Linked DNA regions of Struthio camelus. The protein of the gene in region 1 binds, or shares a complex with, the protein of each later gene. Links are inferred from orthologs where the notes say so. Each region holds a gene or a part of one and is shown in the gene's direction. Other genes may lie near its edges.

Region 1 (3,744 bases):
GCCCTTTAATCCTTACACTGGTAAAATCCTATCATGATAGACAGAGTTTTGCTTGGTAAAGACTGCACTCTTACCTTCCAGCTGTGATTTTTGGCAGGCAAAAGCTGGGGTGCGCAGAGGAAGGTGAAGGGAAGCCTACGAAAAAGCAGTGCTTCCTAACTAGGGGCCTTCGGGCTTGCAGTGTAGTCCAGGGATTTGGCACCCTGTGCTGCGTGGGGCAAACTTGGATGGACACACAACCTCCTCCTCCTCCTCCTCCTCCAGAGGAGTCAGGGTGCAGCGGCGACACGTATTCAAGCCTGGCAGGGCTCCGCTCTAGCGATCCCTGGGAGGGGCAGGCACAATCGCTGCCACTCCAGTCACCTGGGAAAATAAAGGCGGCTTCTGAATTTCCTCCTCCTGCCCCCCATCTCCCCTCTTTCATCTGGAAACAATCCACAGATGTGGGAAGTCAGCAGGTAAACAGAGCGGAGACATCGCAGCAAACCACAGAGCCAGACCTGAGCCCGGCACGCTCTGCTAAACCCCTGCTAAAGCCTTTCCCTTCTGAAACAGGATCCCTGTAATGAAAATAATTAGCAAAGAAACAGACAAAAACTACTTCAGAATGAAATTTAAGCTTCAGCAGAGCACAGCACCGCCAGGAAACGCCAAGTAGGAGCAACCATCCCTTCATCCTGAATTCACACCATTTTCTGTTTCTGTTTCCTGTGCAAAGTTATCAATCACTCGGAAACTGCTGTGGGGCGGTGGGGGGGGGGGGAGATGCGGATCAAGATTTGGTTGCAGAGCGCCTTGGGCCAAGCTTCACCTGATGCCGCCAAAAAACCAGGCGGCTACCTCGTTTCGTGGGGGAACGCTGGAAATGCCTCGTAGGATGTACAGTAGTGGGGGGGGCGGGACGGGACGGCTGTGGTTTTGTGGGCGATCTCTGGCAATCCCCAGCACGATATGCGATATTGGGGGGGAAAATAAACCACAACACAGGATTTTGTGAGGGACCTCTAGCAACAGGCAGAACGATGCACGCTACTGGGGGAGGGGTGGGGGGGACCCGAAAGCAACCCCCCCCCCCCGCAGCACGCACGGTGCGGCGTGAGGACGCGAGTAACTTCCAACAGGCGGCAGCGAGGTAAGAGTGCAAAATGCGACGTTACAAACGGCAAAACGCTCTCGGCTCGGCCGCGCGTTCTCCCCCAAACCCACCCCCGCCGGAGGCAGCGCGCCCCCCCGCCCGGCAGCGCCGGCGAAAGGGGCGGTGCGCGGCGGGGCCCCGGTGGCAGGGCAGCGGTGCGGGTGCGCGCACGCGCGTGCACCAGCGGCTCCCCCCGCCGCCGCCGCCGCCACCATCCCAAACCCGCCGCGCGCGCGCACGCCGCTGCCGCCTCCTCCGCGGCCGCTTTAAGGGCGGCGGGGGCGCGCCGCCGGGGCGCCCGGCGCGCCGCCGCCGCCACTCCTGCTGCCGCTGCCGCCTCGCCGCGCTGCCTCTCCCGCTCCCTCGCCCCGCTTTAAAGTCTCCGCCAGGATCCGGGCTCGCCCGCCACTTCCTGTACGGCAGGATGGAGCGCGCCGGGGCCCCGGCTGACCGCCACCGCCCGCCCGCCCGCGCGCGGAGGCGGCTCTGAGCGCCCCGTCCGCGGCATGCCGCGCGCCCCGCGCCCGCCGCCCGCCTGAGCCGCGCGCCCCGCGCCCGCCGCCGCCCGCCCCCGCGCGGCGCCCCGCGCTCCCCCCCGCCCCGGCTCCGGCGTTTATTTTTCATTCTTCTTCTTCCTTTTTTTTTTTTTTTAAACGGAGGTGAGCAGAAGCCCCCCGCTGTCTCCCGCAGGGAGAGGGGGGTGTTTGGGGGGAGAAACTTATTTTCAACAAGTTTTTTTTTTTTTTTAAATTAATTATTTTAGCCCCTCTCCCCTTTCGATGTGCGGCTTTGGACATGCGGAGGCTACTGCAACCGTGTTGGTGGATCTTTTTCTTGAAAATCACCAGCTCCGTGCTCCATGATGTGGTGTGCTTCCCCGGTGAGTGCGCGCGGGCGGTGGGCGCCGGAGGAAGGGGGGGGGTCCCGGCGCTGCCGTCACGCGTGTCCGCGACCCCTGTGGGCGCGGGGCTGTGCTTGCGGCCGCGGGGGGCCCCGCTAGCTTTTTGCGCGGGGAGGGGGTGGCCGGTGCTTTTACCTCGCGCCCTAAAGCAGGGGCAGCGGTGCCGCGAGTGGGGCCGTGCGCGGTGCGGGAGCTCGGCTCCGTGCAGCCGGCGCGGTGTCACCCGGGCGCGGTGCATTGCAGCCCTCAGCGTGGGGCGGCGGGTCCCGGACCGCTGCCCCTCGGGCGCGGGGCTGCGTGGGGCCGTTGAGGGGGGGGAGTTGCCTTTGTGCCTCGGGACTGGCTCCAGCCGTCGGCTCCGCGCCCTCGCCCGTTTCTGCAAAACCCCCGCGTAAGAGGCAATTGAGGAGTGCGCGGGTCTCCTACCACTACCACCACCACGCGTGTCCGCCCGGGTGCCGCGCCGTGCCGGCGCGCTGACCTTGGTGGAGGAGGGAGGGGGACACGGGACGGGGGTACGTGTGCCGTCCGTGCACGCTCTCCTCTCCACTGCCACCCGCGGCGAGGGCGCGATGCCGGCGCGTGGGGGGCCACCCGGCGCCCCGCTCCCCACCGCCGGTCCCTCCGCGCCGCGAACCCCCCCCCCCGCGCGACGGGGCCGGCTAGGAGCTCCCCCCACCACCGCGCGACGTGACCGTGTCGTGTCCCCCCCCACGGCGCGGCCCGGGGGAAGTTGCCGGGCTCCGGGCTGCACCCCCCCCCCCAACCCGGGCCGCCGCCGCGGTGCCGCCGCCCGTCCGCCAGGGGCGCTGCCGCCCTGCCGGCGCCCCCGCGGGGCCGCGCTGCGCCGCGCCGCTCCGCGCGCCCCCGCCGCCCCTCCGCCCGCGCGCAGCCTCCGCGCCTCCTTTCGCCCGAGTTTGCCCCTCCCGCCCCCCACCACCCCGCTCAGATCGGGGGGCCCCGGCTGTGGGGGGCCGCGGGCGGGGGAAGTCGCCTGAGGCGCGGCCTGGGCGGGGGCCGCGCCGGCCGCTTCCCGGCGGCGCCGCGGGGAGGGAGGGGAGCGCAGCCCTGGGGGAGCTCCGCAGAAACTCCCCGCTCCGTCCTTAAAAATTACACCGCTTTATTTTTTTTTTTTTACTCAATTTTTTTTATCCCCCCCCCGCCCCAAACCCGGAGCGCAGAGGTAGCCCCGTCGCATCCCGCTCCTTCCAGCAACTTCTCGGCCCCTCGCGCGGTTGGCGGCCGAGCCAGCCCCCGCTGGCGGGGGGGTTAACGGCTCTGCCGCCCTTGGAGAAACGTTTCTCCTCTTTGCCTTGATTTCCTTCTGCGTTGCGGGCCGGGGAGCGAGGCCGTTCGCTCCGGCCCTGAGGCGTGCGGCGCCGTAACGACCCCTGGGAGCGGCCGGCCGGGCCGGCGCAACGTGCCGGGCGCCCCGCTGCCACGCCGGGGCCGTTGGCGACGCGGCCGGAGGGGCGGCGGGAGTTGCCCCCCGCCGTGGGTCGACTCCTGAAGCCCGGCAGGGAGCCGCCAAGCAACCGGGCGACGCTCGGGGAACGTCTCCCCGGGGGGGGGGGGGGGGGGGGGCCGTCAGCCGCCGGGCGGGATGGCTCGGAGAAGCCAGCTTATTTCCCAGGAAGGGGCTTTCGCGCCTTTAGCTTTCCCGCGGAGCGGCCGCGTTAAGACCTCGGTTGCCCTTTCGCCCTGGCCG
Region 2 (3,744 bases), about 7.9 Mb from region 1:
CAAATACATTTTTTTCCTTGTCTTTACACCTTTACATTACTTTGCTTATTAAGCCTGGACTCCGACTGCCGAGGCAGTTACGCACGTTGCAGTAGGCACGAGGCGTAGCGAGGGCCCTCACGAGCCTCCCCGAGAGACGTCCCAGCTGCGGACGTCGGCCCCCGCGCCGAGGCCCGGCGCCCGGCTGGCCCTCCGCTCTCCCCGAGCGAGCCCCTCTCCGCCAGGGGGATCAGGACGGGGACGGGAGGGTCCGGAGCGAAGGAGCCCTGAGAGGCCGAGGGCGAGCGGGATGCGCTTCCCGGGGGCCGGGGGGCCGGGGCGGGGGTGAGTGCCGGAGGCCAACACGGACACGGGGGAGAGAAGGGGGGGGGGGGAAGAAAGAAAAAAAGCCCAGAGCTGTAATTTAGGAGCCTGGGGTCTCCTGCCCGCGGGCCTGGGGCTGCTGAAGAGGGGGGAAGGAGAGAGGTGGGAAGCTCCTGCCCCGAGGGGACCCGCCGGCCGCCGCAGCCTCGGGGCGCAAACACGGCAACGCGCCTCCACCCGAAACCTCCCGAGTCAAAACGGAAAACATAAGCGGGGGCGGGGGGGGGGGGGTCCAGACCTTCGGCACCGAGGCGGGGCCGCCCGCACCCCCGCGGCCAGAGCGGCCCCGGCAGCGCGCAGGGCCGCGCGGGGGAGGGCGCGGGGCGGCGGCTCCCCCGCGGCCCCGCGCCCGCCCCCCGCGCACGGCGCAGGTTTGGGGGGTGGGATCTTGCGCGGCGCCCGCCCGGCTCCCGGCCGCTGACGCTCAATGCTGCGGCCGCGGGCTGCTGCGGGCGGCCGCGCACCTCGGCACCGCGGGCAGCCGCGCCCGCCCCGCGGGGCCCCGCGCGCCCCCCGCCCCGCCCCGCCCAGGTAAGCGCCGCTCCGCGCCGCTCTTCCCCGGGCCCGGGCGGGGGGGCGACAAGAAGAGGAGGAGAGGGACAGAACTGGGAATGAATGAGGAAAGGAGGGGACCGCTCGCAGCCAGGCGAGGCGGGCAGGAGAGCGCGGGGCGCTGCGCGGGCGGCCGCGGGGCGGCGCGGCCCGGGCAGCCGGGGGGGGGGGGGGCCGCGCAGCGCCCGCCGGCTCCCGCGGGCGCGCATAACTTTTCGCTTGCAGCCCGCGCTGCCGCGCAAGCCCCGCCGCGGGGGCGCTCCGCGGGTTTCCGCGGGGGGCTGCGGAGGGCCGGGCTGCGCGTCCCCTCGGCGGGGAGCGCTGGGCGGCCGCGGCCCGCGGGGCTCGGGGCTGCGCGCCGGCGGAGCGCTGCGTTTGCGAGCCCCCGCGAACTGCTTAAATGGCCCCGGAATAACCCCCCTCCCCGCCGCCTCGGACCGGCCGCCCAAAGCGCCGGCTGGCGGCCCCGCCGAGGGGTGCGCGCCGAGCGGCCCCCCCCCGCCTCGCTGCCCGGCCGCACCGAAGCGCCGCCGCGGGCGTTTGGGCTGGTTTCAGCCCCTTTGCGGCGAGGGAGCTGCGCCTTCGCGGGAAGCCGCACCGGAGCCTTCCCCTGGTGCGCGGTAGCGACCGCCGCGCTGCGCGGGGGCGGCTGCCCGGAGCTGGAGCCGAACCATCCTGGCAAAACTCAGGCGGGCAGAAAGCGTTCCCGGCTTTTCCTCCGCAGTTAACTTGGGAGCGAGCTCTCCTCTAGGCAGCTAGTCTGCCGAGACTTCGAAGCTCGCGGTGTCCTAACTGATGAAGATACTTGTGTTTTCAATGGGAATGACCGCAGAGGAAAAGCTTTCCTTTGCTTCTAAAAAGCCTGACTTTTACCTTAGCATGCAAACCCTAAACGTGATAAAATGACGTTTCCTTTTAACCCTAAGTTTATGCAGCCGGTGCGGTTGTGCATTGCTCGTGCTGCTCCCCAGCACCTTCCCGGGAGGCGGCGGACGGCGCCGCAGGACAGCAGGTCTTTGAGATTTGAGCCACCCTTCGCCGTGGTCGGTTCCCTATTTCTAGCGTTAATCCCTCCTTGTTTGTTTCCCGAATGCTGGTTTTTACCTGTCGGCTGAGAAGCAGTTGTTCTAGAGACAGAAACCCCGGGGCTGCGGGCGAGGGGGCTGCTGCGCGGGGCCTGGGCGCGAGCGCCCGGTCCGAGCTCCCGTCTCCTCCCTGTCGAGAAGGGCTTCTCGTTGCCGTTGAGCTCTGATTCGCAGCCCTTACAGTTTAGTGGGATTAAAATTTCCTCGATTTACAACACACACATGTGTTACCTTATCAGTGACACCTCGGAAACTTGTGTAGTTGTTGATCTCCTCTACAATTTCTACCACAGATGTGGAACTTCAGAATAATTTGGTAGAGGTTCTGCTCCCAGGTAATTGATTTCACTTGATTCTAGGGATCGGCTTTGGCAGATCTGTGTAGTTTGCGTGATTAAAAAAGATCAGAAGTAAAGACAAGGCAAAGCTGGAGGGAGGGTAATAACCACAAGATAGCTAGACCATTGCTGAGCTTTTTTTTTTTTTTTTTTTTTTCCTCCTCTTGGTCTTGCTGAATTTTGCATGCGTTAAGCATTAGGGAAGGAAAATCTGGCAGTGGCTCGTCTCCATCCGAGTTGCAGGTTGGCGCAGCTGTCGCAATGTGCAGCCCACCCTGCACCCCGGGAAGACGCAGCCCCGCTATCGCAGCGCTGCCGTTCTTGGGCTGCTGCAAACATTGCAAAAAACTCTGTTGCCTAAAAATACTCTGCTGTGTTTGAAAGTTCATAAATCATCACAGTCTATTTTTAGTGATGTTAGATTAGAGCGAGTCTGGGTTTTCTTCCCGAACCTACGTCTCTGGCCTAAATTGACCTGATAACGTCCCTGTAAAAGCTGTTTATGTACTCGTTCTGATTTTGCTTGTGATCTGTTATTCAGACCTTGTCTTATACAGAAAACGGGGCTAATTTGGAACAGCATTTGGTGCAACAGTTGGGAATTTGCCTTCAAATACAGAAATTGTAGTCTGCTTATTGCTGCATGAGTGATGCCCAGTCCCTGACAGGAAGGTAATCACAAACACAGAAAAGTAACATGAATCACATGAAATCCACAAAATGTCAACTTTGAAGCTCTAATCTAGGCGTGCTGCCAAGATTTAAACTTGCACACATCTTTGCTGTTACCTGCTACAATGGTTACTCAAATATAAATATGTATATCATGACAGTAGTGATTCATTCTTTTTATTATTAGCAAAGCAAATAATACATAATGATGACATCTAGCCGATTTAATGTTTCATGAAAGTACATAACTATTCCCTGTCCCCTACAATCATGCACCAAAAATGGCAATATTAAAACAAAAAATTCTTTTGCCAAATCTACTTACAGTCTTAGTATAAACAAGGTTCACAATTCATTATGAACGAGGACAACAGTATTTTCTACACCAGACAGTGTTTACCGTACTGTATATGTTGGACTCGGGGAAATAACTTCATTCTTTGCTTTTCCCTAGATACAAGCAGTCACTTTTTATCTTAATCTCCAGGATAAAAATCTGTTTCAGCATGACACCAAGAAAAAGAAAGATTGGTTTTGAATTGCTGGGTTAAATCACTGGAAGCCAGACCTTCAGGACCAGCAGGGTCAAAGCTTTTGAAAAACAACTAATCTAGTGATCTCATAATCCAAATGCATAATTCATATGTAGGACGCAAAGCATAAGGAGCAAGTTTTGACTCTGCGATGTAAATTAGGATTTTTGTTCAGGAATCTAACTACAATGTAGATATATT
Region 3 (3,744 bases), about 7.5 Mb from region 1:
AGATGCACCACTTCCGAGGGCATACAGGAAGCCCTCCATGGAGATTTGGTAAACCCCACATCTCTTAAATCAGGCTGCATCCAATGAACTGTTCTTCCCCTGCGGACAAATGATAGAAACCTCCTCCAAGCATGTGCTCTCTACTTTTCGGAGAGACCATCACTTCACCTTCTCTTCTGCTACAGTTATTTCATCATTCTTCAAAGGTGTCTTAACCAAATAGCCATCTCAAGTAAAAGTAAACTTATCATTGCCAGCAATCCCTCTGGGCGGGCTAACGACTGGCTGAGGACAAAGCACAAATGCTCAGACGCAGAGGAATGAGCCATTACGCTGCAGCATGTCCACACTACAGTGGGGAGAGGGAGGAGGCGGCCTGAAATGATCGGTACTGCAGCAGGGCCATTGAGGCAACATGGGAATAGGTATGCGAACACTTTAAACTCCTGGTGCAAGCTCCCTGAAATCAGCAGTTATGCTGGAAACCGAGGAGATCTGCTGAACCGCTCCACGTTTATAGGTGGGGTAAATTCAAACTAGCTAAAGAAGATACACACTGCTCTTATTTCTTTTTCTGAATTCTTATTTTGGTCTATTTAACATGTATGCTTGCCTCTGTGTGTGTTTTTGCCACCTGACTTCCACTTCCTCTCAACTTGCCATTGTTCAGACAGCCATGCAATTAATCCCATTACAAACTAATGGATTTACATTGAGATTACATTAAAATGTGGTGAAGCAATGCCTGCGACCTAATTGCACGTTTCTTGGCAGAACCATTCTGAAAACTGCTGTTTCCACTTCCCACCCCTGTGAATACAAATAACTTCTGCTTACTAAGGGAAAGGCATTCCCTCGTCTGCACTTTGCATTTGATCTCGCTGAAGCAATCCCAAGAGGAACAGTGGAAATCTACGGTTTGAAGTTTACGTGCAATCAGGATTTATGTCTGTGCTACTTTAGACAAGCAAGCCTTTCCTTCTTTATTTAATATGCAAAACATAGAAGGGGTAGTTACAATGTTTCAGGAGTACAGTCAGTGCTGGAATATAATCTGAGTGTCAACTTGCATCCTATGAGCTTAATTTCATGGAGTGCATGAAGCAAATATGGGACCAAGAACCAAACAAAATTATTCCCATTCCTGTTCTAAACCTGAGTGGTGCCCCAGTTTTCAAGAAGATAGGTTTTCTGATTACCTGACAGGAGCTCATATTGGTATGAAAAGAATAGTAAGAGCACATTTAATCTTTTATGCTACTAGTATGACAGCTGTGCTTTTGCTCTCTCAGCCTGCTTGAAGGATGATTAGTACAGAGCTAATTTTTATACATTCAAGATTTCTAGATAGCAATATTCATAAACTGTAGCAGCTCTGTGTATCTGATTCAAGCACTAATTGTGCGGGTCCTATCACGAATACAGCGGGAAAGCCGTGTATTTCATGGTTAATACCAGAGAAGAGACACGCAATGCTCAGTGGATAAAAGGCTTGTAGTCCCAGCTGGGAAAATAGTTCCATTATCTCCCAGCTGCATAGACATTCCATACGGCTCCGTTCTGCCTCGATGAACACTGTGGCTTGCTGAGAGCTTCAAACAGTTCTGCAGAAAATTGTAAAGATCCTGAGACATTTCACTGTTCAGATCTGTAAGTACAGAATTGTGCTGTCTACTGCAATATGAATAATGCTGGGGGAGCTGCATTTTCTATTTTTTTTCCTCAGTAATTTTCATTAGCATAAGGGATGGAGAATGCAGAAAATTCACTGCTTTATTTATGCTGTGTTTCTATAAATTGCTGATGCTCCAAATGTATTTATTCTTGCAAGAGGAGAATGTAATGAATTTGTATGCATGTGAGGTTTGAGTCAAACATTACTGGAGACTGTGCTAGTAACAGACACTACAGGTATATTTTTTGAGTATATCACAGCTCTGTGCTGCAGTAAAACGGACAACACAGAAGATGACAGTGCTAATTTTGGCACTTTCATATGACTTTGTACTGCATATTAAAAAATGAAGTGGGTTATGACAGTCGTCTAATTTCTACCATCTGAAGGTGTAAAGGCAATAAATGCAAATTTCCAGAAAATTTAAGTTATGTCCTTGAAGAAAGCTTCCCTTGTTGCTTATCTTAACAATTAAAAAGGAAAAAAAGGTTACAACATATACTGAACTTCGCTTTCGCAAAGATTTGCAAATCCAAAGATTTGCAAAGTAGTTCTAGGTTTGGTGTTGTCATTTATTTATAGTGTATGACACAGCTTTAAAGGAAACATAATACTTTATAAAAAGTTTTGAAAGTTTGTGGTTCCAGGAAACAAGCAACTGTTTGACTAGTGCTTTATGTTAAATTATATACTCCCATAGTGCTTCCTGGGTGTATGCTTGCATTCAGACAGTTGTTACGTGTATAAAGGGTCCCCTCTCACAGCCTGTAAACAATCAGGCTGAATGCTAAACCGTTTCCTGCAGCACTCACAGAGTACTTATGTATTTGGATGATTAAACAAGAAGCAGACACTATGCAGCCTATTTAAATAACAGTTACTTGTCCTTTTTTTGACATTGCAACAATTCACAGATAAAAATTAAGAGGCAAAAGCAGATTATTCAATTCTTTACGGTAGCCTTTTCTTGTTTTTCTTCCCCTTCTTTTCCTTCTCCGCCCCACTCAAGAGGGGAGGACTGCCAGACTACTTCCTTCTACTTCCAACATTTGAAAAAGTTCTGCAAGTCCTGTGTGTGTGTGTGCACGACACTGTGTGTGTGTGTGACAGAGAAAATAAACCCTGCAGCGCTTGTAATTCCAAGCACCACAGCAACACAAATAACATATCTTCATCAGCCAGCTTTGGCTCTGGTGCTCCAGAGGCACTATGTCAGTGTTTCATGTTCCATGAGCCTCTGCTTCAGAGGTTTTATGACACTAAAAAGTCCCAAATCAGTACCTATATGAAGTTAGCAACTATCATATATCACATTTTATTGTGTAAAAAAGAAAAATAAAATATACCAATATATGCAACCATAGTTTTCAAATGCTGGTGAGGTACTGATGGTCATGCATTAGAGGTGTTACCTTTCATGCTGAGGATAAACTCTTAAATAATATATAACAAGTTAAGTGCTTTAAATCAAAGAGAAGACGTCTCTTTTCCTTTTCTTTCAGCTTTACAATCAGTATTAAAATGCACAGGGTAGCATAATAAGCTACCCTAAAATTAATTTCTTGTTACTGAAGCAAATATTTCTATCACAAAACAAGGTGCCAACATCCCAAAGGAGACTCGAAATAGAAAGTTGTATGTTTGCATTATGCAGGTATGAAACACTATTTGTATTTGAACAGAAAATTTTCGTTAGAAGAATATTTGTCCCTGTATTGTGGGTATACAGAAATACATCAGCTCTTCAAAATGGCTTTCAAGGCTATATATTTTTTTGAACTGTATTAACTGCATGCTACTACAGAAGAACATTCCCTTTGCTTAAAATCTCGACTGAATTTTTTCAAGAGAATTGCCACAGATCCCCTTCTACCAACCCTCGGCCAGAGGTCAGTTAAATGCTGCACACCTTCCTGATGGAAGGCTTGCTCAGGGAAATGGAAATTTAAAAAAAGTCTTAATTCTACTATGCTGCCCAGAGTCAGTGCTCAAACACGCTGACTTTGCCCCTCAGGTGCAGCCAGACCCTCCTGAATTGCCACAGAGAAGCAAGCTTAAAAGTGGAACTC

Evidence for each region.
Region 2: the proteins of PTPRG (region 1) and contactin-4 are in contact, whole or in part, in a crystal structure (PDB 3KLD), measured with the Mus musculus proteins. The link is inferred for Struthio camelus from reciprocal best matches to the Homo sapiens genes PTPRG and CNTN4. Residues at the interface, in NP_033007.2 of Mus musculus: Lys222, Val225, His226, His227, Lys229, Phe288, Thr290, Gln293, Asp294, His295, Val296, Lys297, Ser298, Val299, Glu300, Tyr301; in NP_001103219.1 of Mus musculus: Thr128, Arg129, Ser130, Val132, Ser133, Arg135, Gln138, Gly139, Met140, Val141, Leu142, Leu143, Cys144, Gly145, Val219, Met220, Gly221, Glu222, Tyr223, Glu224, Pro225, Lys226, Glu228, Leu250, Asn304.
Region 3: the proteins of PTPRG (region 1) and CNTN6 are in contact, whole or in part, in a crystal structure (PDB 5E5U), measured with the Mus musculus proteins. The link is inferred for Struthio camelus from reciprocal best matches to the Homo sapiens genes PTPRG and CNTN6. Residues at the interface, in NP_033007.2 of Mus musculus: Val225, His226, His227, Lys229, Phe288, Thr290, Gln292, Gln293, Asp294, His295, Val296, Lys297, Ser298, Val299, Glu300, Tyr301; in NP_059079.2 of Mus musculus: Arg129, Val132, Arg135, Gln138, Gly139, Val140, Val141, Leu142, Leu143, Cys144, Gly145, Met222, Gly223, Tyr225, Glu226, Pro227, Lys228, Glu230, Leu252, Asn306.

Annotation. Positions count from the first base shown.
Region 1 is NC_090955.1:11,522,555-11,526,298, forward strand, and holds the start of PTPRG (receptor-type tyrosine-protein phosphatase gamma), read left to right. Parts: upstream 1-1,102; 5' UTR 1,103-1,132; intron 1,133-1,714; exon of another isoform or gene 1,715-1,794; intron 1,795-1,898; 5' UTR 1,899-1,930; coding exon 1,931-2,015; intron 2,016-3,744.
Region 2 is NC_090955.1:3,629,100-3,632,843, reverse strand, and holds the start of contactin-4, read left to right. Parts: upstream 1-879; 5' UTR 880-894; intron 895-3,744. UniProt on the Homo sapiens protein: Contactins mediate cell surface interactions during nervous system development. Has some neurite outgrowth-promoting activity. May be involved in synaptogenesis.
Region 3 is NC_090955.1:4,036,168-4,039,911, reverse strand, and holds the start of CNTN6 (contactin-6), read left to right. Parts: upstream 1-1,102; 5' UTR 1,103-1,650; intron 1,651-3,744. UniProt on the Homo sapiens protein: Contactins mediate cell surface interactions during nervous system development. Participates in oligodendrocytes generation by acting as a ligand of NOTCH1.